Sus scrofa: one gene and its partners. The protein of the gene in region 4 purifies or fractionates together with the protein of the main gene of each other region. This does not show direct contact. Links are inferred from orthologs where the notes say so. Each region holds a gene or a part of one and is shown on either strand. Other genes may lie near its edges.

Region 1 (3,804 bases), on a different chromosome or scaffold from region 4:
TATGATGTATTGGGCTTGTCTGAAGTTTATCTAAAACTGATACCTGGTTTGTTTGTTTGTTTGTTTGTTTTAACATAGTACTTGGTCTTTGGGAATATCACTTAATGTACATTTTATAATTCTTGTCAAAGGCTGACTTAACTTGCATTTGTTTTGATTTCTAGGGTGTTTGCTTTGATATCCCTACTGCAGCAGTAACAGAAGTACAGGTATTATTTTCTCTTGGTTTTGAAGTTAACCTATCTAAATTGTAATTTAAAGTTAAAATGTTTATTCTTTAAAATACAGAATAATAGGAAAACAACTGCTCTAGTCCCTCTACTAATGACAATTAAGAATTACATTTTAGTATTTTTTTCTCTTAGCCTTTTTTAGTCTAGTATTTCTCTTAGTCAGTGTTCCTATTTTCCTTTTGACAGCATTTCAAATATTATCCAGCTTTTTTCTCCATATGTGCTACACAGGGTTTATACAGATATATTTAATTGCTGTGTCTTTTATTCAGTACTGCTGTGAGACTGCGTGTGGTGGTAGCTCTATATGTTTTATTACCTGACAGCTGGGGATACCCTGTAGTGATTGAAATGAAAAAATGTTGAGGGTATTTCTTACAGTGAAACTTATTTTTGACCAGTGACCTTTAAGCACTTAGGTTATCTGGTTTTTCTTTAGAAAAAGGGTAAAAATCTTGTCTTTCTCATGCCTTTTAAAACTAAATTCGATAAAAATCGAAGCAGGTAAAAACAAAACCATCTCTCAACAGGAAAAATGGCATGATTCCCGACGCTGGCAGCTCTCTGTGGCCACCGAGCAACCAGAGCTGGAAGGACCACGGGAAGGTTATCGAAGCTTCAGGGGACAGCGGGAAGGCGGTCGAGGTTTCAGGGGACAGCAGAAAGGAAACAGAAGCTTCAGGGGACAGCGGGAAGGAAACAGAAACTTCAGGGGACAGCGATCAGGAGGTGGCAGCAGAAGCAACAGATTCCAAAACAAAGGCCAGAAGCGGAGTTTTAGCAAAGCGTTTGGACAGTAATTTGAAGTAGAGGATTTACACGGCAAAAACAGAACATGTTCACCAACGTGGAACTGAACGTTGTTTTTCATACAAAGTCAAAAGCACATTGTCTATCCTTCCTGACCGCTTACCCAGTCCCCATCTCTTCAAGAGAGAGACTAGCTTCATCTAAATTATTTCCTCTGATGACTGTCATTTATAACTTTATTGCTACTTCTGTATCGAATTTTCCTTTTGAAAAGGTATATGGATTCATTGCCTATCCTAGTGCATTGTCTATAGGTTACAAGGTAAAATCAAGCATGTATCTGCTGATACTTTTTAAGTTGATCTGTCTGTACTTAGAAGTGTCTCAGTAGTGTCCTTCCTTGAATGAATACCATGGGGAATCGACAGTTTCTAGAGAAGCACGCTGAGCACTCAAGGCTTTGTTCTGTAATTGGGATTCCTCAGCCACTTGCTTAATGATTACTCCTGTGGTCCTATAATGTGTCTTCTGAGAATTAATACTGAGCAATGTTTTGAAGCAAACTTAGCTGGGATGTGTCACAGTGTATGCTCTAGATTTGGAGGATGGTGATACATTTGATAGGAGATATTACATAGATTAGCCATTGTTATGTGCATTTTGGTGCATTTTTAGCTTCTCAATATAAGATGATTCATGCTTCAGTGAATTCCATGTTTTACTGGAAAGCAAGTCTAAGGAATTCCAGGTATATAAGGTGGCCCCATAACTTTCTTCATAAGCAAGGAGGTGGGTTAAATGGTGCTTGATAATGTACTCACCTCTGGTTGGAAGATTAACATTTACCAAGAAGGAGCTAAGGGAGTAGGGGGCAGAAACTTGCAGAAGAATCAAAAAAAGCCACTGAAAATAGTTTCTACATGTGAGAAGAAGGCAAAGAGAGGAACAGGTGAAGATGCATGATAAAGCATCCCTTTAATGGTGAAAACTTACCGAGTCCTTACTGTTTCTAGAGTTTAATTTCTAAGAGGCAAGCTGGAGTTTTTAGGTACAATGAGGCCTAGTTCTTATAGCTGCAGGATAGGGTCTTTTTCTAATAGACTGCTACTCTATTGAAAGGTTGTAGCCATTTAGGGTCTTCGTTTTAACAGACAGTTAATTTGTTGCTTGGAGGGAACTGAGGAAGGGAATATAGCCCCTGGCCCAGTATTGCTCTGAGGTCTCAAATGATTTTTCTGGGAAACCTTGCAAGGGGTGCAGGAGCTTCAGTGTAGCTTTGTCTTCTTGACTTAATTCCTAGAAATTCTGTATTGGGAATCTCAGGAAACAGACTATGATAGGAGAAGTTCAAACACATGGCCTGTCTTGTGTTCATTTAATTATTTGGAACAATTGAAATCTTTCTAGGCCCTGATTTCTCTCACTGGCTCTTTATTTCCAACTACTTAGCAGTCACCTCTGCAGTAAGGGGCTCGGGTAGCCAGCTCAGCTCCTTAATTCTTGAGGCAGCATCCTTTTTCTATTTGGATTTCAGCTCTGAACTTGAATCCTGACTAGATGTTTCTGTTCTCACATTCTCTTGGCTTTTATTCCTTGATCCACATGTCAGTTTTATCACTTGACCTCATGGTTTCCCATCAAGCCAGAGGGAGTAAGGGGAGGTATTTGATGACATACAAGTCATGTGCCTTGTGGATCATGTTTTATTAGCTTCTGGTTTTGCTGAAATAACAACCAAAACGTTTCGGTTTGGATAGGAATGGGTACTTTATTAAGTTGATTAAAAGGACACTGTACCTTTAGGAAAATACAGTTAAAACCTTGATGTGGATTAGCTTAAAGAAAAATCATCAGGCAAAAATCAAGATTGGGGGTTGAGAGGAGAGATGGATGGGAATTTAACTTTACAAAACTCAATTTTAAGGAAAACATGACTATTTCAATACATGAAGCTATGGAGTTCCCACTGTGGCACAACAGGATCAAGTGCTGGGATGCCGGTTCTGTCCCCGGTCAGGCCTGGTGGGTTAAAGGATCCAGCTGTGCTGCAGCTGTGGCATAGCTCGGAGCTGATCCCTGGGCCAGGAACTCCATATGCTGCAGGGCGGCCAAATAAATAAATAAATGAAGCTAAAGTTTTTCCTGAATCCCTGAATTCAAACCATATTTATAAATGTATACTGCAGCTACCATGTGCTTAAATAGGCTTGTTGAGCTAACCTGGGAAATGTTATTGTTTTTACTGTTTTCTACAGAGAAAATATTTTACAATTTAGGTATCAATTCAATGAACTTTTAAAATACAATCAATTTTTATGTTGGAACTATCTGTGCAGCAGTTTCTTTACAGTTGTACATAAGATGTTTTTACTGTAAAATTGAGTTAATGTATGAAAATAAGGCTTTACGCCATAATAAAGATATTAGTACTTACTATTTATGGTTTTGGTAACTTTTTTTTTAACTAAAATTGAAGCTTGAAATTCTTTTTTTTTTTTTTTTTTTTTTGTATTTTTAGGGCTGCATTTGCAGCATATGGAAGTTCCCAGGCTAGGGGCTGAATCAGAGCTATAGCCACTGGCCTTTGCCACAGCCAGGGCAGCATGGGATCCCAGCCACATCTGGCGTCTACACCACAGCTGATGGCAACGCTGGGTCCTTAACCCACTGAACAAGGCCAGGGATCGAACCCGCAACCTCATGGTTCCTAGTCAGATTCGTTAACCACTGAGCCACGACAGGAACTCTGGATCTATATCATTTTTGATGACTACGTGCATAATATGAGTATGCCATGAAGATGGCCAAGTTGGTTATTTAT
Region 2 (3,804 bases), on a different chromosome or scaffold from region 4:
CAAGTAGGCAGAATGGTTTCAAGTAGCAGAAATCCACCCTAGGGAGCTTAAGCACAAAGGGGAATTTATTCAAGGGTTTCAGACCAGGAAATGAGACCAGGCACTGAAGAAACAGCAAGATCCGAGAGCTTACCTGCCCTCTTTTCTGCTTTAAGAGCAGCTTTATTCTTTCCTACCAGCTTTCTCTTCTTTATGGAATCCACTTTGGCTCCCCTACAGCTTCCAAAATTTTGGAAGAAATTTTGAAAGAAGAAGAAACTATTGACTAGGTTCCCTCAACTGGGACTTTTCAAGGTCAAATTTATTTATTTTTTTAACAATTTTATTTATTTATTTATTTGGTTATGGTATACCGTGGCTTGATGTGGGATCTCGGTTCCTAGACCAGGGATTGACCCGGGCCACAGTGGTGAAAGCACCTAATAATCCTGACCACCAGACCACCGTGGAACTCCTATCAAATTTATCTTTAATACATGAACACTCATTTGTTTTTTTAGATAGAGGAACATTCCTGATGTACATGGAATAAGGAGTCTTTTTGCTTTATTTGTTGAATTGTCTGTTGAAATATACATGTACATTGGTTATTATAAAATAAAGAGCTATTACTAATGCTTACTGTTATGACTATGATGATGGTAAACAGGGAAACAGACTGACAGTTAACATAAATATTAAGAGAATGCTAACTACATTAGTTTCAGGAAAAACATAACCTTCTGCAGCCTACAGATATTTATGGCAATTTAAATACAAGGTAGAATAAGAGAGATTATATCCTATATCTATTACTATCTGATGTGCTACCACTCATAACATGAAACACAGTAAGGTCATCTCTGGAAGAACTGACAATAAATGCTCACAGCAGTCACATCCAGTGGTCACTTCTAGATATGTATCTCCTTGTGAATTTTTTTTTATGGCCACACCCATGGCATATGGAAGTTGTTAGGCCAGGGATTGAATCCGAGCAGCAGCTGTGGCTAATCCTTTAACCCACTGCACCGGAGCAGGAATCAAACCCACGTCTCCTCAGCAATCAGAGCTGCTACAGTTGGATTCTCAACCCACTGTGCCAAGGTGGGAACTCCTCCTTTGAATTTTATTTTTTTATTTTTTATTTATTTATTTATTTTTTTGGTCTTTTTTTCTTTTCTAGGGCCACACCTGCAGCACATGGAGATTCCCGGGTTAGGGGTCCAATCAGCCATAAACTCCGGCCTACACCAGAGCCACAGCAACATGGGATCTGAGCCGCGTCTGCGACCCACACTACAGCTCATGGCAATGCCAGATCCTTAACCCACTGAGCAAGGCCAGGGATTAAACTTGCAACCTCATGGTACCTAGTCAGATTCGCTAACCACTGAGCCACAAAGGGAACTCCTCCTTCTTTGAATTTTAGACTACACGATGAATATATTACCTGTCCAAAAATACAAAAAGTTTTCAATGTAAACAATGAAGGAATAAACAGATTATTTTGTTCTAACTACACTGCTTAGCTTTCTATGTGTTAGTGATAGCTATTTATTCCTAGAGTGTCCCTCTTGGACTAATAAATAGTCATTGTTAAAGGATAATTTAGATATGAGTCCTAGGAAATCCACATGAGTTCTAGATAGCCAACACGCCAGCTAGCTGCTAAGAAGTGACTTCTTACATTATCTTCTTAACTTATGTAGTGTAGGTAGGTTCACTGCAATCTCCAACTTAAAGACAGTCCAAAATTAAGAGTGGTACAAAAATATGAAAATAAATTCAAGCTTACTCCCCCTAAGAGTTAGGAAGGGAAAACTCACGTAATAGGAAAGTTGACAATAGTTGGATTCTTCTCCACAAAGAAATTGTTCTTAGTGAATCTCTTAATACAAAAGATGAGATATGGAGGCAGCTTGGTGAGCTGGAAGCGCTTCAGAAAGTTCTCCTTGTAAGTCTTATATTCCTAGAGTGAGAAAAGAAAACTATCCAATTAGTGCTGGAGCAGGAGAGCAGGGACATGAGCTTTGTTTTGGTTGCGGCTGGGTTTTTCAACATAATTTTGCCTTACACTTAGAATTCAGAAGGCACCTGATCCCATTAACCACCTACAAGGCTTGGGAATAGCAGTCTGCTAAGGCCAACTAAAATACCTCAGCTGCTGGTTTCAGCCAGCATATGGCCATACTGCTGAACTCTAACCAGTCACAAGGGTATTCTTTTCTATAAGGAAAACCAAACGTCAAGTGAGAAAGAGGATTTGTTATTAACAAGGACCTACTGTATAGCACAGGGAAATCTACTCAATGTTCTCTAATAACTTAGATGGGATAAAAAAAATGGGTATGTGTATAACTGATTCCCTTTGCTATATGCCTGAAACTAATGCAACATTGTAAGTAACCTATAATCCAAAAAAATTTTTTTTTAAAAAGAGGACTTGTTAAAAGCTCAGAATTTAAAAACCATGAAAGTTTTTTTTTTTTTTTTTTAAAAAGGGGGGAGTTCCCATCACAGCTCAACGGAAATGAATCTGACTAGCATCCATGAGGACACAGGTTCAATCCCTGGCCTCGCTCAGTGGGTTAAGAATCCAGCATTGCCATAAGCTATAGTGTAGGTCACAGACAGGCATGGGTCTGGAGTTGCAGTGGCTGTGGCATAGGCCTGTGGCTACAGTTCCAATTAGACCCCCTAGCCTGGAACTTCCATATGCCGTGGGTGCAGCCCTAAAAAGCAAAAAAATAAAAAATAAATAAAGTATAAAAATGATACAAAGTATGTTCTCTGACCACAGTGAAATGAAATTAGAATCAGCAACAGAAAGAAATTTGAGAAACTCACAAATATGTGAAAATTAATAACAAACTCCTAAATAACCAGTAGATTAAAAAGGAAATCAAAAGGGAACTTAGGAAAGAATTCAAGGTGAATGAAAATGGAAATACAACATATAAAAACACACAGGACAGAGTTCCCATCGTGGCTCAGTGGTTGGCGAACCCGACTAGCATCCATGAGGATGCAGGTTCCATCCCTGGCCCTGCTCGGTGGGTTAAGGATCTGGTGTTGCCATGAGCTGTGGTGTATGTTGCAAACGCAGCTCAGATCCCTCGTTGCTGTTGCTGTGGCTGTGACGTAAGCCTGCGGCTGCAGCTCCAATTCAACCCCTAGCCTGATGCAGCCCTAAAAGACAAAAAGGCAAAAAACAAAACAAAAAAAACCACACAGGATGCAGCTAAAGCAGTGGTTAAGAGAGAAATATATAGCTATAAATGCCTACATTGAAAAATAAGACCTCACATTAGTAACTTTCCACCTTAATACACCATAAAAAAAGAAAAGCAAACAGAAAAAAGGAAACAAAAAAAAAAAATAAGAGGTTAAAATTAATGAAATACAGAATATAAAAACAGTATTTCAGGTGTTCTCCGGTCACCAGGTTAAGGATCCAGTGCTGTCACTGCTGTGGCTTGAGGGGGCACAGCTATGGTGAGCATTCATCCCCTAGCCTGGGAATTCCCACATGCCATTGGTGCAGCCAAAAAAAAAGCAGGAACCAACAGGTTAAAAAAAATTCTCCCAGTACAGAATCAAAAAGGAGTAAATTTGTCAAAAATGAAGAAAGGAATTAAACCAAGAAACAGTTAACTCAGCAGATAAAAAGAACCTTTTAACTTAATGAAGAGCAATGTTAAATAATAATTTTTTTTTTCCTTTTTCAGCTTCCCCCATGGAATATGGACATTCCCGGGCCAGGGATAGAACCCAAGCCAGAGCTGCAACCTACATCACAGCTGCAGTGATGCAGGATCCTTA
Region 3 (3,804 bases), about 29 Mb from region 4:
GAGGATGCGAGTTCCATCCCTGGCCTTGATCAGTGGGTTAAGGATCTGGCGTTGCCGTGAGCTGTGGGGTAGGTTACAGACACGGCTTGGATCCTGCGTTGCTGTGGCTGTGGCATTGGCTGGTGGCTGTAGCTCCAGTTGGACCCTTGGCCTGGGAACTTCCATAATGCTGCAGGTGCAGCCCTGAAAGACAAAGAAAAGAAAAGGAAAAAAAAAGACAGTAATGGCCTTGCTAGAGCTTACAGCCTAGTGAAGTAACAGTTATTAGACAAATGGTTACAATAAAGTGTGATGAATATTTTGTTGCTATTATTTATAAAATGGTACAATGTTGCCTGTAACTTCTAAGTGACCAGAACCCTCAGTTTCAGGGACAGTTAACTTCTGAGGTGTCTGTACTCTTGTTTTTCTGTATTCCCAAGCTGAATGAGTACACGTACAAATGTCTTAGCAAATGAGAACCTAAAAGCTGTGTTTAGGGGAACAGCTGTTGATTTAGAGGGACCGAATGCAGTATTGTGGGACTGTGAGGTTTAAGAGCAACAGTGGCATAGTTGGAGGTGGGGCCGTGGTTCCTGATCCTGGACGACCTGTGCGCTGCGTTTGGAGTTGGATTGTAAGGCAGATTTTTCTGTGGAATGTGGCACTGTGATACCTAGTGGCTTCTCTGCATGGCACAGGTAGCAGAACACCTTGTCTTTTATTTATTTATTTATTTTTGGTCTTTTTTGTCCTTGTAGGGCCATACCTGCAGCATGTGGAGGTTCCCAGGCTAGGGGTTGAATCGGAGCTGTAGCTGCTGGCCTATATACCACAGCCACAGCAGTGTGGGATCCAAGCCACGTCTGCAACCTACACCACAGCTCATGGTAATGCCGGATCCTTAACCCACTGAATGAGGCCAGGGATAGAACCCTTGTCCTCATGGGTACCAGTCGGGTTCGTAACCACTGCGCCACAAGGGGAACTCCCACCTTGTCATTTCTAAATATTTCATTCTGTTGTTGCAGTGCTCTCAAGTACATGCCCCATGCAGTCCTCAAACTCCTGGAGAACATGCCGATGCCTTGGGAGCAGATTCGGGATGTGCCTGTGCTATACCACATCACCGGAGCCATTTCCTTTGTCAATGAGATTCCCTGGGTCATTGAGCCTGTCTACATCTCCCAGTGGGGGTAAGAAGGCCTGGAATGTGGTGGTGGTGGTGGTGGTTGGGGGACAGTGGGTAGAAGCCTTGATGTGACATTGTTGACTTTTCCAGGTCAATGTGGATTATGATGCGTCGAGAAAAAAGAGACAGGAGGCATTTCAAGAGGATGCGTTTCCCCCCTTTTGATGATGAGGAGCCGCCTTTGGACTATGCTGACAACATCCTAGATGTCGAGCCACTGGAAGCCATTCAGCTAGAGCTGGATCCTGAGGAGGATGCCCCGGTGTTAGACTGGTTCTATGACCACCAGCCGTTGAGGGACAGCCGAAAGTGAGTGATGGGTGGAGTTACTGCTCCCGTGAGAGTGCTGGAACTCCAGAAGGGGTCTTGGGAGAACAGTAGGTAGTATGGCGTGGTTTGCTGGTATACCTACCTGAGGTGGGCCTCTTTTTTTCCCTAGGTATGTGAATGGTTCCACTTACCAGCGCTGGCAGTTCACACTGCCCATGATGTCCACTCTCTACCGCCTGGCCAATCAGCTTCTGACAGACTTGGTAGATGACAACTACTTCTATCTATTTGATCTGAAGGCCTTTTTTACCTCCAAGGCACTCAATATGGCCATTCCTGGAGGCCCCAAGTTTGAGCCTCTTGTCCGAGACATCAACCTACAGTAAGTTGGAGAGAGGAGGGATTTTAGGCACTTTGGGTTGAATGAATAAAATCTGATGCTTTTTTTTTTTTGTCTTTTTAGGGCCGCACCTGCAGCATATGGAGGTTCCCAGGCTAGGGGTCAAATCAGAGCTGCAGCTGCCGGCCTACACCACAGCCACAGCAATGCCAGATCCAAGCCGTGTCTGTGACCCTATACCACAGCTCACGGCAACGCCGGATCCTTAACCCAGTAAGCAAGGCCAGGGATCGAACCCGCAACCTCACGGTTCCTAGTTGGATTCGTTTCTACTGCGCCACCACGGGAACTCCTGAAATCTAATCTTGATCCTAAGATTCCTTTGTAGTTTCCAGACTCCCCAGCTCGTCTGCTCATCCTTGATTTTGTACCCTAGGGATGAAGACTGGAATGAATTCAATGATATTAACAAGATCATCATCCGGCAGCCTATCCGCACTGAGTACAAGATTGCCTTTCCTTACTTGTACAACAACCTTCCACACCACGTCCACCTCACCTGGTGAGAGCACTAGTCCCAGCTGGGGGAAAGGCGACGCTGGCATTTAGGTTGGGCCAGGGCAGGAGAACTTGACTGATGACTTTTCTTTCATTTTAGGTACCACACTCCTAATGTTGTGTTCATCAAAACTGAGGATCCTGACTTGCCAGCTTTCTACTTTGATCCTTTGATCAACCCAATATCCCACAGACACTCTGTCAAGGTGAGAGTAAAGCATTTGACCTCAGTCTTCTAAGAGAAATTTCTTTCTTTCTTTTTCTTTTTTGGCTGCCCCTTGGCATATGGAGTTCTCAGGCCAGGGATCAGATCTGAGCCGCAGTCACAATCTAAGCTGCTGCTGCAGTAACTGCAGATCCTTAACCTGTACTGGGTTGGGGATCCACCCTGCGTCCCTGCACTCCCAAATTGCCACTGATCCTGCTGCGCCATAGTGAGAGATGAAGAGAGAAGTTTCTTGACTGGATAGAAGAATTACTAGATAAAATTCATCTATGAGGGAGACATATTTTCCTTTCTGAAGTATTCCCCTCACGCTATAAGCTAATTTGGGAGTTGGGCAATTGGCCCAAACTAAGTTATTGATATCATCTTGGTTTCTGAGATTATCCATCGGGGCTTTATCCGAACCCTTCTTTGTCTTTCCATATCATCTTATTCTGGTCTTTTTCTAGTGTGTTCTTTTTTTTTTCCCCAATCCCTTGAGCTGTAATTCACTACCACACAGTGGCCCCTTTAAAGTGTATAATTTGATGGCTTTTAGTTTTTTCACAGGTTTGTAACCATCTCCACAGTTAATTTTAGAACATTTTCATTTCCTCAAAGAGAAACCCTGTACCCATCAGTAGTTGCTCTTTTTCACTTGACCCTTCCTTATTTAGGCAACTATAAATTTACTTTCTGTCTCTATATATTTATCTTTTCTGGATGTTTCGTGTAAGTACAATCACATAGTGTGTGGTCTTTTGTGATTGGCTTTTTACACTTAGAATACTGTTTTTTTTTTTTTTTTTGTCTTTTGTCTTTTTGTCTTTTTTTGTTGTTGTTGTTGTTGTTGTTGTTGCTATTTCTTAGGCCGCTCCCGCGGCATATGGAGGTTCCCAGGCTAGGGGTCGAATCGGAGCTGTAGCCACCGGCCTACGCCAGAGCCACAGCAACGCGGGATCCGAGCCGCGTCTGCAACCTACACCACAGCTCACGGCAATGCCGGATCCTTTAACCCACTGAGCAAGGGCAGGGACCGAACCCGCAACCTCATGGTTCCTAGTCGGATTCGTTAACCACTGCGCCTCGACGGGAACTCCTTAGAATACTGTTTTTGATGTTGATCTATGTTCCATTACGTTCTTAGCATGAACAGATTTCCTTCCCCAAGCCCAGTGTTTGGAGTTCGAAGGGAAGGTGATTGCAGTGTTTACCTCTTCTGGTATTGGGGCTCCTCTGGGAGGCCTTTGGTGGAGAGCC
Region 4 (3,804 bases):
TCTTTCATTTGAAAATAATCCCGTGGCTTCTTTATTTCTTTGTTGTCCCATAATCTCCCCTGCTCTCCTCCTCCTCTCCTTATCCCTGAATTGTGTGGTGTATTGGTAACTGGGGGAGGGTGGAGTCGATTTTCCTCTGTGGCCAGCAGAACATAACTTTCTTTTCCCTTGCAGACGTGTTTTGTAGATTGTTTAATAGAGCAGACTCACCCGGAAATCAGAAAGCGCTATGACCAAGATGTAAGTAGAAATTCTGTGGAGGGTTTGGGATGAACCATTCAGAACACAGGGGGGTGTCTCTCCTTCTCCTTCCTTCTAACCTCCCACTCTCATTATAAGTAATGATGCCTATAATATGCTGCTTCATAATTGTAATTTCTATTAATAGCCCTTAAGAAAATAATTTCCATTTTCTCAGGAACATAGAGAATATTAACCTGCAGTATTTTTGGATGATCTGTTCTGCACTTGAGATCCCTCCTGTGTTCTGATATATCCTGACTTTTATAGCCTATTCTTTCCTGTCATAGTATTAATAGCCTACTCTATAAATATAATACAGTTGGACCTTGTTGTTTCCATGATAAATTTAAATGCCTGTGAATGAGGCCCAGTGTGGCTGCAAGTCTCAGTGCAATAACTGTTCAGTCTCCGCCAGATTGACTGTTTTGATGTGCGGGTGTTCCGTGAAGGCTAGAGGTGTCTTCCTTTACCACTGTGCAGAATTCAATGCATTTGATGTGATTTAGCTCTCCAGCCACCTCGGTCCTTAGTGACTTCCCTGACTCCCCCCATAAAACCATCCAGGAGCATTTTCCACCTGGGAGGGCCCTAGTCTCATTGAACTCTCTGTAGCGCACCCTCTTGCCTTCCATCTGTTCTCCTCCTGAGCCAGAGGCCCCCAGGTTAGGAGTGGGTGAGGGGAATGATTGATGGTTTGTGGGTGGCAAGAATCTGAATTCAGGTGGTAACTACATTTTTTTTTTTTTTTCTTTTTTCAGCTGTGTTACACAGACATCCTCTTCACAGAGCAAGAGGTAAGTGTGCCTTTGGGAATCTGATTGTTGCCACACCAGACCCAGCAGTGGTGGTTTTGTAGGGAAAGTTTTTATGATAACGTTTTGGCCCATACAGCACCCGTCCCCCATAACTCCCATCCCTCAACCTCTTTATCTCCCTGCTTCGTCCCATGATCTCTAACTTGAAAGAGAGCTGGGTAGGCAAACTGTAGGATAAAAGGAGAGACCCTCCTGTCCTTACCTGGATTTAATTTAGCCTAATGGGGCAGATGCCAAGAGGTGGTGTGTACATTTATCTGTAAGTTATACAGAAGCCAAACATGATTTTTAAAATGACATCATCCTTAAAATCTATAGGATGACTCCATCCATATGTCGCTCTTCCTAGGGGCAGCTTCCCTTAGAGAAGAGGTTCATCTCTCTTTGTTCTTCTCTTTCTCTGTAAAGGAGTGCACGTATATCTCTGTCTTTTCCATTCCATCTGGTTAGTCTTTCCATCTAGAGGGGATCTTTATCCCTCCCCTCTAACACCTTCTGTTTCCTCTTCTCCTTTTTTTTTTTTTTTTTTTTTTGTGTGTGTGTGTGTGTGTGTGTGTCTTTTTAGGGCTGCTTCCATGGCATATAGAGGGTCCCAGGCTAGGGGTTGAATTGGAACTGTAGCCACTGGCCTACACCACAGCCACAGCAACACAGGATCCGAGCTGCGTCTGCGACCTACACCAGAGCTCACGGCAGCCCTAGAGCCTTAACCCCCTGAGTAAGACCAGGGATCAAACCTGTGTCCTCACAGATGCTAGTCAGATTTGTTTCTGCTGAGCCACAATGGGAACTCCCCTCCTTTATTTCTGTCTCTCTTAAATGACCACATGGAAAGCACAAATGTATAAGTTTGACTAACCAAAGGAACTCTAAACGGTGCTGGCATATGATAAGCAATCAACAAATATTAGCTATTTAAAAAATATATGTGTGTATATATTTGACTGGAGTTGGGCTTTTTTTTGTTGGGTTTTAGCTGTGCCTGTGGCATGTAGAAGTTCCCAGGCCAGGGATTGAACCCACACCACAGCAGTGACATAAGCCATAGCAGTGACAATGCCAGATCCTTTAACCCACTGTGACGGGCTGGGGAATTGAACTTGCCCCTCCACTGCTGCAATCAGATTCTTAAGCCACTGTACCACAGCAGCAACTCCTACTATAACTTTCGCTATATTTAAAAAAAAAAAAGGAGTTCCTGTTGCGGCGCAGTGGTTAACAAATCCGACTAGGAACCATGAGATTGCAGGTTCGATCCCTGCCCTTGTGCAGTGGGGTAATGATCCGGCATTGCCGTGAGTTGTGGTGTAGGTCGCAGACGTGGCTCGGATCCTGCATTGCTGTGGCTCTGGCATAGGCTGGCGGCTACAGCTCCGATTCAACCCCTACCTAGCCTGGGAACCTCCATATGCCGAGGGAGCAGCCCAAGAAATGGCAAAAAGACCAAAAAAAAAAACCCAAAAAACAAAAAAAAACCTAGGAATTCCCTCATGGCCTAGCAGGTTAAGGATCAGTGCTATTACAGCTCTGGCTTGGGTTTGATCTCTTGTGTGGTCTGGGAACTTCCACATGCCACAGGCACAGCCAAAAAAAAAGGAACCTAAAATAACCCAGATAGTTTCTTTTGATTTATATGATGTTTAATTATTTTTATTTATAGTGTACGAGGAAGATAAGATTTTAGGACTGTGGATTCTCCTATTATGGTTTACCACTGCTTTGCTTGCTTGTTCTTTTATTTTTACTTTTTTGTATTTGAACCAACTCTCCCCCATCCTGGGAAATGCTGTTAAGACCAAGATAGTTTGTCTTCAAGGTCATTCTGATTAGAGGACTAGGTTACAAAATCACACACACTACAAGGAGAGACAGTGGTGTAACTTACTAGCAACTGGGAAGCCCCCAAAGCAGAGTAAACCCCTCCTGCATAGGATGAGCTCTTGATCATCCTGTCTCTCTCTCTGTGACTTTCAGAGGGGTGTTGGCATCAAAAGTACTCCTGTGACAGTGGTCTTGCCAGATACCAAAGGAAAATCCTATCTCTTCAATATCATGGACACTCCAGGTAGGATGTTCCTGACCTTTTACTGTCAAAACCTTGACTTATTTTTTTCTTGTGCTCCTACTATTTCTAGAACAGAAAAGAGCATTATGTCTTTCTTTTTACATTCTGTTCATTAAGATGATAATTTTCATTTTTAACGGTTTCCTTTGCTTCTAACCAGTTAATTAGCAAGCACTGTGCTCCAGGTCTTCTGTCTTATTCCTCTCTTGACTCTGCTCTAGACTATTTAAATTTGGGGGAATCTTATTCATATATTAGTTTCAGCCTGTCAGTCACTGTGCTAGACATTGGGGTGACAAAGATGAGTCAGACATGGTCCCAGCCTCAGGCCATCTCAGTCTTTTGATGGAGACCACGGGTACTTACCAGTGGCTGGGGATGTACAGGTTGCCATGGAGCAGCATATCTTGTCCCTTGGTTGCCTTTTTCTCTTGATTCATTTTTATTTTTTGCTTTTTAGGGCCACACCCATGGCATATGGAGGTTCCCAGGCTAGGGGGCCACAGCAGTGCAGGATCTGAGCCTCATCTGTGACCTACACCACAACTCACCGCAATGCCAGATCCCCAACCCACTGAGTGAGGCCAGGGGTCAAACCCGCATCCTCATGGGTACAAGCAGGTTCTTTCTGCTGCGCCACAATGGGAATTCTGGAAAATCTGGGTTTTGGCAGATTGGCCT
Region 5 (4,560 bases), on a different chromosome or scaffold from region 4:
TTTAAAAAGAAAATAAGCTATTGGATGGTGAAAAGAAACTAAAAGGACTGGAAAAACTAGATTCTACAATGGAATAGAAAGTAAGGAAGCACCATACAAATTTGCTTTTAACTACTTCCCATTGCTCTATATATTAGTTTCCCTTTTCCAATTAGATTGTGGGTTTCTTCCCCCAAAGGAAGTATTTCTTTTGCATATGCTTCGGAGCCACTCTTAGCTCTGGCCACATAGTAGGTTCTCAAATATTTGTTGATAGATTGGCTCAAAAAGTTGCAGTAGTGCTCTACACGTGGAAGAGACGATCTAGTAATTAGCTCATTTAAAATAAAGGTTCCTCTTTCTTCAGGAATATTTTTGAATATCTGCCTGATTGCCAACCAAAAAGGCCTCATCTTGTCTTGCCCTGGATTTATGCCTAAAATGCAGTCACAATGGATAGGACGACAAAAGATGAAGCCGTTTATTCAAATGGGATAGGCCATTTTTGAGAAACAGTGATTTCACAGCAAACGTTGGAGTAGTAAATTGGGTGGATAAGCTTCCTGGCGCTGTAGATCTTAGTCTCTACTTGAGATCGTGTATAAGCACTGAACTCAAAAAATTCTTTTTAGGTTTTTCATGCTTGCAACCAAGAGTATACACTGGAAAAAAAATGTTAATAGGAGGGTAGACACACACTCAGGGTCTTAAACGTAATAAAATTAGGATTAGAAGTAAAGAAAACTGTAGTACTTAAGTCTATTCTAAACTCAAAAACTGGACGTCTGGAGTACCACGTGGTGTGTAGAACGAACTTAGATAAAAGAACTGAATGGAAAAAGCCAAGAGGTCAGCGCAGGAGCCTGTTCGCCAGGCTGTTGGTCAGCAAACTGAGCCACTCGCGGATTCTCGGCCCTGAAGACCGCCCCGAGGCCCCTGCCGCCGCGGTTCCCCGGCCTTTTACGCCTCCCTCTCCAGCCGGAAGGGGCGCGGACGGCAAGGGCGGTGGAGAAGCCCCGGCAGAGGAAGCGGCTCCAGGGGTTAGTCCTTAACCTGCGAGACCGCAAGACTGAGGACCGGTGGGGTACTGCCGGGTAAGGGCTCCCATCTCGGTCCAACTTTGCAGTTAAGCTACGACCGGTTCAGGGAAGATTCTGGACGCCTCCCCGCCGCCCCACCCCCCAGCTGTGCGGAGAGTAATTCATACAAAAGGAGGACTCTCCTCAGCCAGGGAAATCCCAGGGACCGTCGATAAACTCCCACTAAACCTAGAACCGAGTGAGCGCTCGACCCCGCCTCCCACCCACCAGCAGTCGTCATCCTCCTGGTTGAGAGGAGCATGCGCCGGGCGCCGTGTGCTCGTCAGTGGGCTGAACGCACATCGCCCACGGTCCCCGAAGATGGGGGGAGGGGACGGCGGTGGAACCGGTGCCGGGTGGAGGTGGCGCGGGGTAAACTGGGAAAGTGGTGTCGTGTGCTGGCTCCGCCCTTTTCCCCGAGGGTGGGGGAGGACCATATATAAGCGCCGTGGTCCCCGCGAACGTTCTTTTTCGCAACGGGTTTGCCGCCAGGACACAGGTGAGTACGGGTGTGGCCTCCGTCCGCATGGCCTCCGCCGGTGGCCACGGCCTTAGCGTGCCTCCCGGCCCCCCGCGCGTAGAGGGCTCTGCGCCCTGGTCCTGATTCCGAGCTGCGGGCGGGGGGAGGTGGAGAACTCGAGGCCCTCCGCTCTCGCGGTTCCCTACCGCGTGCCCGGTGGCGGCCTGCTGGGGCGCCGTGGCCGCCGCGTGCGATCCGCGCCTTCGCGCCCGCCCCGTCTGTCTTCGCGCTCGAGTTCGGCCGGCAGCCGCGTGTTACTGCCAGGGCGGCCCAGCCGAGGCCGCCCAAGGTGGCCTCCGTGCCCGGCGGTCCCGGGGCAGACGGCCGCGGCGGGGCGGGGCGGGCGGTCGGAGACCCAGCGCCCCGCCCGGGCGGGCTGCGAGCGCGGAAAGATGGCCGCTCCCGGTCTCAAGATGGAGGACGCGGACGGCGGGCGGCGCACAAAGGGCCGGGCGGTGCTGCCCGCGCCGCTTCCCGGGACTCGCGGCCCGGGTGGGGGAGGGGCTGGGCGCCGGGGCGGCCCCGTTCGCTGGGTGTAGGCCGGGCAGGGCCCGCAGGGCGCCGGTGCTAATGCTCCCTGGAGTTTGCCCTTGGCTGTTGGGGTTGTGCCTGAGTCTCCGGTCGTCGGGACAGTAGTTTAAAGAAGGTTTTTGTCGTCTTAGGTGTCGTGAAAGCCATCGCTAAAAGCTAAGCAAAAATGGGAAAGGAGAAGACTCACATCAACATCGTCGTCATCGGACACGTCGATTCGGGCAAGTCCACCACTACTGGCCATCTGATCTACAAATGCGGTGGGATCGACAAAAGAACCATCGAAAAGTTCGAAAAAGAGGCTGCGGAGGTCGGTAAAGTAACGTCAGCAAATTAAGTGGTAGTTCTCTAAAACTAGTGTATATCTGACTTGAACTAGTACATTGCAAAGTTTGCTAAGTGGCTTAACTCCAGCCAAGTTTAGGAGATGGAAGTGAAACCTAGCATTGCTTCCAAGTGGGACTAAGGAGTTTAGTTACCGAGTAACCCTTCTTAATCCCTGCAGATGGGAAAGGGCTCCTTCAAGTATGCCTGGGTCTTGGACAAACTAAAGGCTGAACGTGAGCGTGGTATTACCATTGACATCTCCCTGTGGAAATTCGAGACCAGCAAGTACTACGTGACCATCATTGATGCTCCAGGACACAGAGACTTTATTAAGAACATGATTACAGGCACTTCCCAGGTTTGTAGGATTAAGAACTCCTGAGAGTAACATTTTGAGTTATCTATAAATTGGCGAAACCATGGATCTGTCCTTTTTGGAGAGGTTTTCACAGGGTGTGGCCTTTTTTTCTTTTTTAAAGGCTGACTGTGCTGTCCTGATTGTTGCTGCTGGTGTTGGTGAATTCGAAGCAGGTATTTCCAAGAACGGGCAGACCCGTGAGCATGCTCTTCTGGCCTACACCCTGGGTGTGAAACAGCTCATTGTTGGCGTTAACAAAATGGATTCCACTGAGCCACCCTACAGCCAGAAGAGATATGAAGAGATTGTAAAGGAAGTCAGCACCTACATTAAGAAAATTGGCTACAACCCTGATACAGTAGCATTTGTGCCAATTTCTGGCTGGAATGGTGACAACATGCTGGAGCCAAGTGCTAATGTAAGTGGTTTTGATGAGTTCTCAAAACTTAAGTCTGGGAAGGGATAAGTTTGAAAACACTAATTGATGATCTTGTGTTTTAGATGCCTTGGTTCAAGGGATGGAAAGTCACCCGTAAAGATGGCAATGCCAGTGGAACCACACTGCTTGAAGCTCTGGATTGCATTCTACCACCAACTCGTCCAACTGACAAGCCCTTGCGCCTGCCCCTCCAGGACGTCTACAAAATTGGTGGTAAGTTGAACGTTACACTCAGCTGGTATGGGTTGCAGTGATGTTTGTCTTCATACGAGATAATTATGCTGTGCTGTGAATACTTCAGGTATTGGTACAGTCCCTGTGGGCCGAGTGGAGACCGGTGTTCTCAAACCTGGCATGGTGGTCACCTTTGCTCCAGTCAATGTTACAACTGAAGTCAAGTCTGTTGAAATGCACCATGAAGCTTTGAGTGAAGCCCTTCCTGGGGACAACGTGGGCTTTAATGTCAAAAACGTGTCTGTCAAAGACGTTCGTCGTGGCAATGTGGCTGGTGACAGCAAAAATGACCCACCTATGGAAGCAGCTGGCTTTACAGCTCAGGTAACACTTCAGTGACAGGTTTTTAAACTGCCAGAACCTTAACTGTCTAAATGTCTAAAATGTGCTAAATGCAAATTTTCTCCCTAAGGTGATTATCCTGAACCATCCTGGCCAGATCAGTGCTGGTTACGCACCTGTGCTGGATTGCCACACAGCTCACATTGCCTGCAAGTTTGCTGAACTGAAGGAGAAGATTGATCGTCGTTCTGGGAAAAAGCTGGAAGATGGCCCCAAGTTCTTGAAATCTGGTGATGCTGCCATTGTCGATATGGTTCCTGGCAAGCCCATGTGTGTTGAGAGCTTCTCTGACTATCCTCCTCTGGGTAAGAGTGCCTTTTTAGTGTAATTAAGCTTCAGTAAAAATGGAAAAGCAGTTATGTAGAGAAAGTGTTTCTCATGGTGATTTAATTTTTGTTTTAATAGGCCGATTTGCTGTTCGTGACATGAGACAGACAGTTGCTGTGGGTGTCATCAAAGCTGTGGACAAGAAGGCAGCTGGAGCTGGCAAGGTCACCAAGTCTGCTCAGAAAGCTCAGAAGGCTAAATGAATATTATCCCCAATACCTGCCACCCCAGTCTTAATCAGTGGTGGAAGAACGGTCTCAGAACTGTTTGTCTCAATTGGCCATTTAAGTTTAATAGTAAAAGACTGGTTAATGATAACAATGCATCGTAAAACCTTCAGAAGGAAAGGAGAATGTTTTGTGGACCATTTGTTTTGTGTGTGGCAGTTTTTAAGTTATTAGTTTTTAAAATCAGTACTTTTTAA
Region 6 (4,559 bases), on a different chromosome or scaffold from region 4:
TCCCAAGTTAGGGGCTGAACTGGAGCTGCAGCCACAGGCCTAGGCCATAGCCATGGCATCATGGATCTGCGATGCATCTGTGACCTGTGCTGCAGCTTGTGGCACCATGGGATCCTTAACCCACTGAGTGAGGCCAGTGGTCAAACGCACATCCTCACAGAGATGTCAGGTCCTTAACCTACTGAGCCACAACAGGAATTCCCATTCTGTTTGATTTTTAAACCTAACTCAGAAAGTATCAGTGGATCAATGAAATCTGTGGAATAAACAAACCCTGAATTTAACCTAGTCTAAGAAATGAGTTCCAGCTTCTTTTTTGATTCTGTCATATTCAAGGATTGCAAATATTTATATAAAGTCCACTTAGAGGTCAGCTTTTCTATTCTTATTTCCAGGCAGGTATTCCTCAACCCAGCCGTTCTTCTTTTTTTTTTTTTTTTTGGCAGCACCCATGGCATATGGAAGTTCCCGGGCCAGGGAACGAAGCCGAGCCAAAGCTGTGGCATGGCCAGATCCTTAACCCATTGCACCACATTGTGAACTCCAACCCAGGCCTTCTTTAAGGCATGCAAATAAGGGAGGCTTTATCCACATCAGTCATCCTATACTAAAGCTCATAATCCTTAAGGCTGTTTTTGTCAATTTTTTTTTTTTTTTTTTTTTTTTTGTCTTTTTAGGGCTACATCTTCAGAAGTTCTCAGGCTAGGGGTCCAAACGAGCTGTGGCTGCTGGCCACAGCCACAGCCACAGAGGATCTGAGCCTTGTCCATGAGCTATATCACAGCTCACAGCAAAGCCGGATCCTTTAACCCACTGAGGGGACCAAGGATCAAACCCGAATCCTCATGGTGACTAGTCAGGTTTGTTACCACTGAACCACAATAGGAACTCGCTCTCACAATTCTCTGTAGTCACATTCATCCTAGTGGGAATTCTGTACTCAGATATTTTTCTCTTATGTTCTACAGGGCCTCTGTCATAAATATTCTCTCAGTTCAGAAAAGATTACTTTCATTTTGGATGTACTCTCTTTCCACTTCTATTTTTCTCCTGTTTAGCTTAACAGAGAAAACACCATCATAAAAGACTCTCTAGAACAATCTTTAAATGCAAATTAATACGATTCTTCTTCTTCCTTTTTTTTTTTTTTTTTTGCTACTGTACGTTCTGGGGCCAGGGATGGAACGTGGACGACACAGAAGCATCTCAAGCTGCTGCAGTGACAACACTGGATTCTTAACCCACTGAGCTACAAAAGAACGCTTCAAGATGTTTTAAGATGGAGTTCCTGTCATAGGATAGTGGTTAACGAATCCGACTAGGAACCATGAGGTTGTGGGTTCGATCCCTGGCCATGCTCAGTGGGTTGAGGATCCGACGTTGCTGTGGCTCTGGCGTAGGCCGGCGGGTACAGCTCCGATTAGACCCCTAGCCTGGGAACCTCCATATGCAGCCCAAGAAATGGCAGAAAGAAGAAAAAAAAATTACACTGTACCTTTTAGGAGAAAAGATATCCAGAAAGAAGAAAAAAAAATTACACTGTACCTTTTAGGAGAAAAGATATCTTAAAACTTTTTTTGCCCCCCTTGGGCCGCTCCCACGGCATATGGAGGTTCCCAGGCTAGGGATCTAATCGGAGCTGTACCCGCCGGCCTACGCTAGAGCCACAGCAACGTGGGATCCGAGCCGAGTCTGCGACCTACACCACAGCTCACGGCAACGCCGGATCCTCAACCCACTGAGCAAGGCCAGGGATCGAACCCACAACCTCATGGTTCCTAGTCGGATTCGTTAACCACTGAGCCACGACAAGAACTCCGGTACAGTCTAATTAACTTCTGCATTCTTGGTAGGTTTATCCTCTATAAGACCTGTTGCTAAACAGTGTATTTAATTTTGGTATAACCATATGAAGCTAGTGAAGTCATGAAACTAGGAGTAAAAGATTTTGTGTCTTACTGACATGTTATATAATAAATCTATGATGGCTCTATTTACCCATCATGAGACAGCACTATAGCTTATCAATTTCAACATGCTAACTGTTCAATGCTCAAAAGAAGGGTATTCAGACAACATAGGGAGTGAAGAAAGAGCTCTTCCATTTACTAACCTTCTGTCAAGCAATTCCTCTGAGCCTCAGTTCATTCATCTTACAAAAGGAGGACAACTGCCATAGCTATCTGGCACTTAATTCATTCAGTAAGTATTTACTGCACAACAACTAAGTGTTAATGTAGTGGGATACTGCCAAGGATACATACAACAGTGAACAAAAGAGACAAGAATCCTCACCTTAGAGGGCTTATATTCCACTAGAACTGAATCATAGATTAGAAAGTTTAAGCCGTTTGAAAATCCAAAGCAATAAACGGGGTACCACTCTATAAACGAACCGTATGCCCAAGCACTATACTTATGTACTCAATTTCAACCCATTCCCTCCATAATATAACGTGCAGACTAAACAGTCAGTGGGCAAAAATCAAACTTCCAAATAGTAACTAGCTTTGTCATTAATCAGACGTTCAACAATAACTGCGTGGGGCGGGGTGGGGGTGGTTACGGTGTGGAGGGAGAGAGAGGAAGGCAGAATGATCTCAATGAGCAGGTAGCAGAATCTAATCTTCTGAAGGAATTCCTTACTTCGTGCTCTTCTTTGCTACAAGTCGAATTTCCTCCCTTAAACCCTATCCTTTGCTTTTTGCTCTCTCCATCTCTCTGACCGGACCCTTTCCCCACCTTGTTCTACCCAAACTCATCTCAGAGGTAGTCTCCTCACCCTGTCCCTTTCCCGCCCCCGCCCTTTTCCTCTCAACAATCTCATTCCAACCCGTTCTCGCACAGAACCTGGTTCTTTCCTCAGCCTCCTTTCTGTTGAACCTCCCGCCTCGGTCCTCCCTTTGGACTGAAACTTAGCCCCAGCCGCTAGGACCCGAGCATACCCTCTCTGGGCCCGGGGCCACTACTCACCTCACAAACTTCAGCCCCTGAGACGGAGCCCGAACGTTACACCGGAACCGGAAACCCTCCGACCGCCCTACGGCCTGCCGTCGCTACCGCCACGGCTGCTGCCTCGCCACGGTCCCACAACTTGTGACGAAAGAGGGCGGGGCCCCGGTTCGCGCAGCCGTAGTAGCTACTTTTCCGCGGCGGAGCGCATGCGTGGCGGAGCCGTAACGATTTCCCCCGGCAAGCTACTTGGCTCCTTCGGTTCCCCGTGCTAAACCTGTTAACTACATTAGCGCAAAATTAATGTTACCTGAAGCATAAATTGAGCTGCTTGTAGTATTCCCGTGGAGAATAAGTGCGCTAAGGCTATGGCTAGAACTAAAAGCAGAGCTTCTGCGTTTGGGCTAAACCTGGACTTTCTGGTAGGAAGTAAACTTCAGAGTAGTGATCGTTAGTATTAACCACTCTCTCCTTAGCCTTTGTCCTTAACAGTGGTGCCAAGAGACCCAGAAAACCGACTAGTGTGGGAGGAGTCTGAAGATAGTACCCTCTCACACACCTTTGTTTCTTTCTTCCATTCATTCGCAAAACAAATAATTGCTGGCAGTCTAGTACTTTTTAGGCCCCACCTGCAGCATATATAAATTCGGGTTAGGGGTTGAATCAGAGCTGCAGCTTCTGGCCTATGCCACAGCCACGCAGAATCAGAGCTAGGACTGTGACCTACACCACAGCTCAGGGCAACACTGGCTCCTTAATCCACTGGGCAAGGCCAGGGATGGAACCTGTGTTCTCATGGATACTAGTGGGGTTCTTTACTCGCTGAGCCAGGACAGGAATTCCTAATCAACCATTTTGGTCCTCAACTAATCCTTACCTAACAAGCACCTTTACTTCTTGCCAGCTCCAATTATAATTCTTTTCTTTTTTTTTCTTCCTTTTTACGGCCTAACTTGCAGAATACAGAAGTTGCTGGTCTAGAGGTTGAATCGGAGCTGCACCTGCTGGTCTGTGCCACAGCCACAGCCACACTGGATCTGAGCCGCACCTGTGTTCTACACTGCAGCTTGCTGCAACACTGGATCCTTAACCCACTGAGCAAGGCCAGTTTGATGTGGGATCAAACCCACATCCTCGTGGATACTAGTTCTTAACCCCAATTATAATTCCTCCAATTATAATTTTTAATAAACAACTTATTTAACTACCTGTAAGCTTGTAAGCCTCCCCAATTTTGTAGTCCAGCAGAACACGATTCAAGTGCTTCTTAAACCTGTGTCTCCCTCAGTAAAGAACTTATATAAAGCTAAACTCATGAAGTTCCCACTGTGGCCCAACAGGATCACAGCATCTCTGCAGTGTTGGGATGCAAGTTTGATCCCTGGCCTGGCACAGTGGGTTAAGGACCTGGTGTTAGGCTGCAGTTGGCCCAGGAACTCCATGGCTTTCCATATTACTTAGTGAAAAATGCCCTACACTCCATTACTTCTGTGATCTCACTTGTTTTTTGTTGTTGTTGTTGTACCCGAGGCATGTAGAAGTTCCTGGGTCAGGGATTGAACTCACAGCACAGCAGTGACAATACCGGATCCTTAACCACTAGGCCA
Region 7 (3,323 bases), on a different chromosome or scaffold from region 4:
CCTGGTCCTGGAAATAGGGTGTGCGGTTTGTCCTTCTTGCCTCTGGGGCAGTTGTCTTTTTACCGCTAGGTGGCGGGGCCTCCCCGCTTGGCCAAGTGCTGTTGAATTTCCCATTCTAGTAGCATTTAGGCATCACTGGGTGAGTGCGTGGTGCCGGGGCCAGGCTGTGGCCACTCCCAGCCTCCTTTCATAAGATGGTTGGAGGCCATCTCCTCTCTCTGATGATCTGCCTCTTTGCTTTCCCTTTAGGAATTGGTGTTTTCCGCCTCCCCAGACGCCACTATCAGGATTTGGTCGGTTCCGAACGCCTCCTGTGTACAGGTTGTTCGGGCCCATGAGAGCGCTGTGACAGGCCTCAGCCTCCACGCCACTGGGGACTATCTCCTGAGCTCCTCTGATGACCAGGTGTGGTCCCAGGCAGGGCCCTGAAGCGGTCTCCTGTCCCCAACATCCTGGGAGGAGGGAACACCCTACCCGCCCCTGTGGTTCCCCAGAGCCCCGAGGAGAAGGTTCTCTGCTGAGGGGGCCGGCCTTGCCAGGGTCCCTGCCTTCCTGAGGGCCCGCCAGCCCTGGGGACCTCACGTCTCACCAGCTCCGTTGTCTCTCTTTTCAGTACTGGGCCTTCTCTGACATCCAGACAGGACGCGTGCTCACCAAGGTGACCGACGAGACCTCTGGCTGCTGTGAGTTGCCCCCAAGGCACTGGGGTCTTCCTTTGCCACGTGTCATTTATTTATACGTTTCATGAAGTTGTTTGCTCATTTGTTCTAAACATACACTTAACCGCAGAGCCGGCGGAGTGGTGGGCGTGGTGCTGGCACGGTGAGCAGCGGGAGGAGCAAGGAGCCTGCCTTTGCTGCCTTTGCTGCGCCTGGCCTTCCCGGTGGGCTCTGACCCTGCGTCCCCCTCCCCTCTCCACAGCTCTCACGTGTGCGCAGTTCCACCCGGATGGACTCATTTTCGGAACAGGCACCATGGACTCTCAGATCAAGATCTGGGACTTGAAGGTAGGACTGGCAGCCTCCGTCTGTGGCCCAGGGTTGGAGCTCTCGTGACTGTGGGTTGTGATGACGTGCTTATGGCACCTGGCCCTGGGGGTGTCCCGAGAGTGGCGAGGCAGTGGCTGTGTGTGTGACACGGTAGGTGTGGTCTGGGGGCCCTGGGCTGGGCCGTCCACCCCTGCTCGTCCTCCGGGTTGTCCTTCCCTGAGGGACAGAAGAGGGCATCCCAGACGTGGAGTTTGGTGAGGCTTATCTTCTCCCTTGTGACCAGCGGGTGACGTTTTATTCCCTGCCCTCCAACTGATAGGAGCGAACCAACGTGGCCAACTTCCCTGGCCACTCGGGCCCCATCACCAGCATTGCCTTCTCCGAGAATGGCTACTACCTGGCCACGGCGGCCGACGACTCCTCTGTCAAGCTCTGGGATCTGCGCAAACTGAAGAACTTCAAGACGTTGCAGCTGGATAACAACTTTGAGGTGCTCCTGCCCCCCTTCCCTCCCCTTCCCAGCGCCAGCTCTCTTGGTTGCCGCTCCTCATTTGTCATCATTGATTCACTGAATTACTCTAAGCTGCCTCTGTTTATCCCAGTTACCCATAGTTCTGCCCCCCTCATGTGACCTCTCCTGATTCTGACAGGTGAAGTCCCTCATCTTTGACCAGAGTGGAACTTACCTGGCCCTGGGGGGCACAGATGTCCAGATCTACATCTGCAAACAGTGGACGGAGATTCTTCACTTTACAGGTAGAGGCCAGCCCTGGGATCCTGAGGTCTCTGAGTGCCCTGGCCCAGAGGAGAACGGGGGACGCTGCACTGGTTAGGAATGTCTAGGGTAGCATGAACTTGCCAAGGTAGCTCTTAATCACTGCCTGGGCAGTAGAGGTTAGGGGCCAGGAAAACCTCGCAGAGTCAGACTGCTTGGCTCTAAATGCTAGCTCCTGTGACATTGGGCTGGTTACTTAACCTCTGGAGGATGGTAAGAGTACGTAATAGTCCTCCACAGGCTCAACCAGCTGGGGATCAGAAATAGTTGGAAAATGGAGTTCCCATCATGGCGCAGTGGAAACGAATCCGACTAGGAACCATGAGGTTGCGGGTTCAATCCCTGGCCTCACTCAGTGGGTTTCAGATCTGGCGTTGCCATGAGCTATGGTGTAGGTCAAAGACTTGGCTTGGATCTAGTGTTGCTGTGGCTGTGGCATAGGCTGGCAGCTATAGCTCCGATTAGACCCCTCGCCTGGGAACCTCCATATACTGCGGGTGTAGCCCTAAAAAGACAACAACAACAAAAAAAGTTGGAAAAAAGAACCCAGAAAGTAAAACTTGAATTGGATGACGGTGACTGGCTGACACAGAGCACTGGGTGGGCCGGGGCGTGTCGTCAGGGGTCGGTGCTGGGAAAAGCCGCCTCACTGTTGTCTCTTGTCTCTTTTCGCAGAGCATAGCGGCGTGACCACAGGGGTGGCCTTCGGGCACCACGCCAAGTTCATTGCTTCAACAGGCATGGACAGGAGCCTCAAGTTCTACAGCCTGTAGGCCCCGTTCCTCCTGACCGGAGCTGGGCCTCGTCTCAGTAGTGGGGTAGAGTTAGGGGTGGGGGCGGGGGGTGGGGGAGAAGAGACTACTGGGGGGAGGGGGGCGTCTGGGACGGGACATTCACATCATTTCACTCTGGTCTGGGTGGTGGCCTGAGAGCCAGGGCGGCGTGGACCACCGTTATCTGTGCAGCCTCCGGGCCCAGTGGGTCGGCCGTGGGAGGCAGGACTGTCACCTCTGAGGGCTCAGGGTCGGCGCCCAGGGCCTCTCCCCTCGTGGCGTCCATGGAGTTGGAGTTGGTGGCCGTTCCACAGCCACCTCATTTCCCTTCCTGCGCATCGGGGAGAGGCTGAGCCAAGGGAACTGTGAAGGGCTGGGCGGAGGGCTCAGGCAGGGTTTTGTAAGCAGTGATCTAGTTTCATTAAAAAAAGAAAACAATAAACAGAGTCCACTTCCTGTGTGTGTCTATAGTGGAGAGGAACCCAAGTCGGACCTGGCCACCAGAATGCCCATCGTTTCTAAGTTTTAAATTGCATAACAGAAATAAAAAGGAAAGCAAGAAATCTACAAGCCACCTGCCAAAATGACTCTTCCCTCTCTATGCAGGCTTAGACCTGGTGTTTTTTTGTTTTTTTTTTTTTTGTCTTTTTTGTTGTTGTTGTTGCTATTTCTTGGGCCGCTCCCGCGGCATATGGAGGTTCTCAGGCTAGGGGTTGAATCGGAGCTGTAGCCACCGGCCTACACCAGAGCCACAGCAATGCAGGACCCGAGCTGCGTCTGCAACCT

What was found.
Region 1: the proteins of EFTUD2 (region 4) and DDX21 purify together in Homo sapiens (affinity purification with mass spectrometry; 3 studies listed by BioGRID and IntAct, with this or other methods). This does not show direct contact. The link is inferred for Sus scrofa from reciprocal best matches to the Homo sapiens genes EFTUD2 and DDX21.
Region 2: the proteins of EFTUD2 (region 4) and USP39 purify together in Homo sapiens (affinity purification with mass spectrometry; 4 studies listed by BioGRID and IntAct, with this or other methods). This does not show direct contact. The link is inferred for Sus scrofa from reciprocal best matches to the Homo sapiens genes EFTUD2 and USP39.
Region 3: the proteins of EFTUD2 (region 4) and PRPF8 purify together in Homo sapiens (affinity purification with mass spectrometry; 9 studies listed by BioGRID and IntAct, with this or other methods). This does not show direct contact. The link is inferred for Sus scrofa from reciprocal best matches to the Homo sapiens genes EFTUD2 and PRPF8.
Region 5: the proteins of EFTUD2 (region 4) and EEF1A1 fractionate together in Homo sapiens (co-fractionation; 4 studies listed by BioGRID, with this or other methods). This does not show direct contact. The link is inferred for Sus scrofa from reciprocal best matches to the Homo sapiens genes EFTUD2 and EEF1A1.
Region 6: the proteins of EFTUD2 (region 4) and PRPF3 purify together in Homo sapiens (affinity purification with mass spectrometry; 3 studies listed by BioGRID and IntAct, with this or other methods). This does not show direct contact. The link is inferred for Sus scrofa from reciprocal best matches to the Homo sapiens genes EFTUD2 and PRPF3.
Region 7: the proteins of EFTUD2 (region 4) and PRPF19 purify together in Homo sapiens (affinity purification with mass spectrometry; 3 studies listed by BioGRID and IntAct, with this or other methods). This does not show direct contact. The link is inferred for Sus scrofa from reciprocal best matches to the Homo sapiens genes EFTUD2 and PRPF19.

The regions. Positions count from the first base shown.
Region 1 is NC_010456.5:72,060,360-72,064,163, forward strand, and holds the end of DDX21 (nucleolar RNA helicase 2), read left to right. Parts: intron 1-164; coding exon 165-209; intron 210-763; coding exon 764-1,033; 3' UTR 1,034-3,419; downstream 3,420-3,804.
Region 2 is NC_010445.4:59,129,094-59,132,897, forward strand, and holds part of USP39 (U4/U6.U5 tri-snRNP-associated protein 2), read right to left. Parts: intron 1,952-3,804; coding exon 1,809-1,951; intron 1-1,808.
Region 3 is NC_010454.4:47,888,712-47,892,515, reverse strand, and holds part of PRPF8 (pre-mRNA-processing-splicing factor 8), read left to right. Parts: intron 1-1,010; coding exon 1,011-1,175; intron 1,176-1,261; coding exon 1,262-1,480; intron 1,481-1,610; coding exon 1,611-1,823; intron 1,824-2,217; coding exon 2,218-2,343; intron 2,344-2,439; coding exon 2,440-2,545; intron 2,546-3,804. UniProt on the Homo sapiens protein: Plays a role in pre-mRNA splicing as core component of precatalytic, catalytic and postcatalytic spliceosomal complexes, both of the predominant U2-type spliceosome and the minor U12-type spliceosome.
Region 4 is NC_010454.4:18,487,681-18,491,484, forward strand, and holds part of EFTUD2 (116 kDa U5 small nuclear ribonucleoprotein component), read left to right. Parts: intron 1-174; coding exon 175-240; intron 241-1,001; coding exon 1,002-1,037; intron 1,038-3,032; coding exon 3,033-3,123; intron 3,124-3,804. UniProt on the Homo sapiens protein: Required for pre-mRNA splicing as component of the spliceosome, including pre-catalytic, catalytic and post-catalytic spliceosomal complexes. Component of the U5 snRNP and the U4/U6-U5 tri-snRNP complex, a building block of the spliceosome.
Region 5 is NC_010443.5:92,420,427-92,424,986, forward strand, and holds the start of EEF1A1 (elongation factor 1-alpha 1), read left to right. Parts: upstream 1-1,524; 5' UTR 1,525-1,557; intron 1,558-2,240; 5' UTR 2,241-2,275; coding exon 2,276-2,419; intron 2,420-2,614; coding exon 2,615-2,794; intron 2,795-2,915; coding exon 2,916-3,212; intron 3,213-3,295; coding exon 3,296-3,446; intron 3,447-3,534; coding exon 3,535-3,791; intron 3,792-3,879; coding exon 3,880-4,114; intron 4,115-4,214; coding exon 4,215-4,339; 3' UTR 4,340-4,560. UniProt on the Homo sapiens protein: Translation elongation factor that catalyzes the GTP-dependent binding of aminoacyl-tRNA (aa-tRNA) to the A-site of ribosomes during the elongation phase of protein synthesis.
Region 6 is NC_010446.5:98,768,632-98,773,190, forward strand, and holds the start of PRPF3 (U4/U6 small nuclear ribonucleoprotein Prp3), read right to left. Parts: upstream 3,094-4,559; 5' UTR 2,974-3,093; intron 1-2,973. UniProt on the Homo sapiens protein: Plays a role in pre-mRNA splicing as component of the U4/U6-U5 tri-snRNP complex that is involved in spliceosome assembly, and as component of the precatalytic spliceosome (spliceosome B complex).
Region 7 is NC_010444.4:10,857,735-10,861,057, forward strand, and holds the end of PRPF19 (pre-mRNA-processing factor 19), read left to right. Parts: intron 1-249; coding exon 250-405; intron 406-613; coding exon 614-683; intron 684-921; coding exon 922-1,007; intron 1,008-1,308; coding exon 1,309-1,479; intron 1,480-1,639; coding exon 1,640-1,745; intron 1,746-2,439; coding exon 2,440-2,537; 3' UTR 2,538-2,581; downstream 2,582-3,323. UniProt on the Homo sapiens protein: Ubiquitin-protein ligase which is a core component of several complexes mainly involved pre-mRNA splicing and DNA repair. Required for pre-mRNA splicing as component of the spliceosome.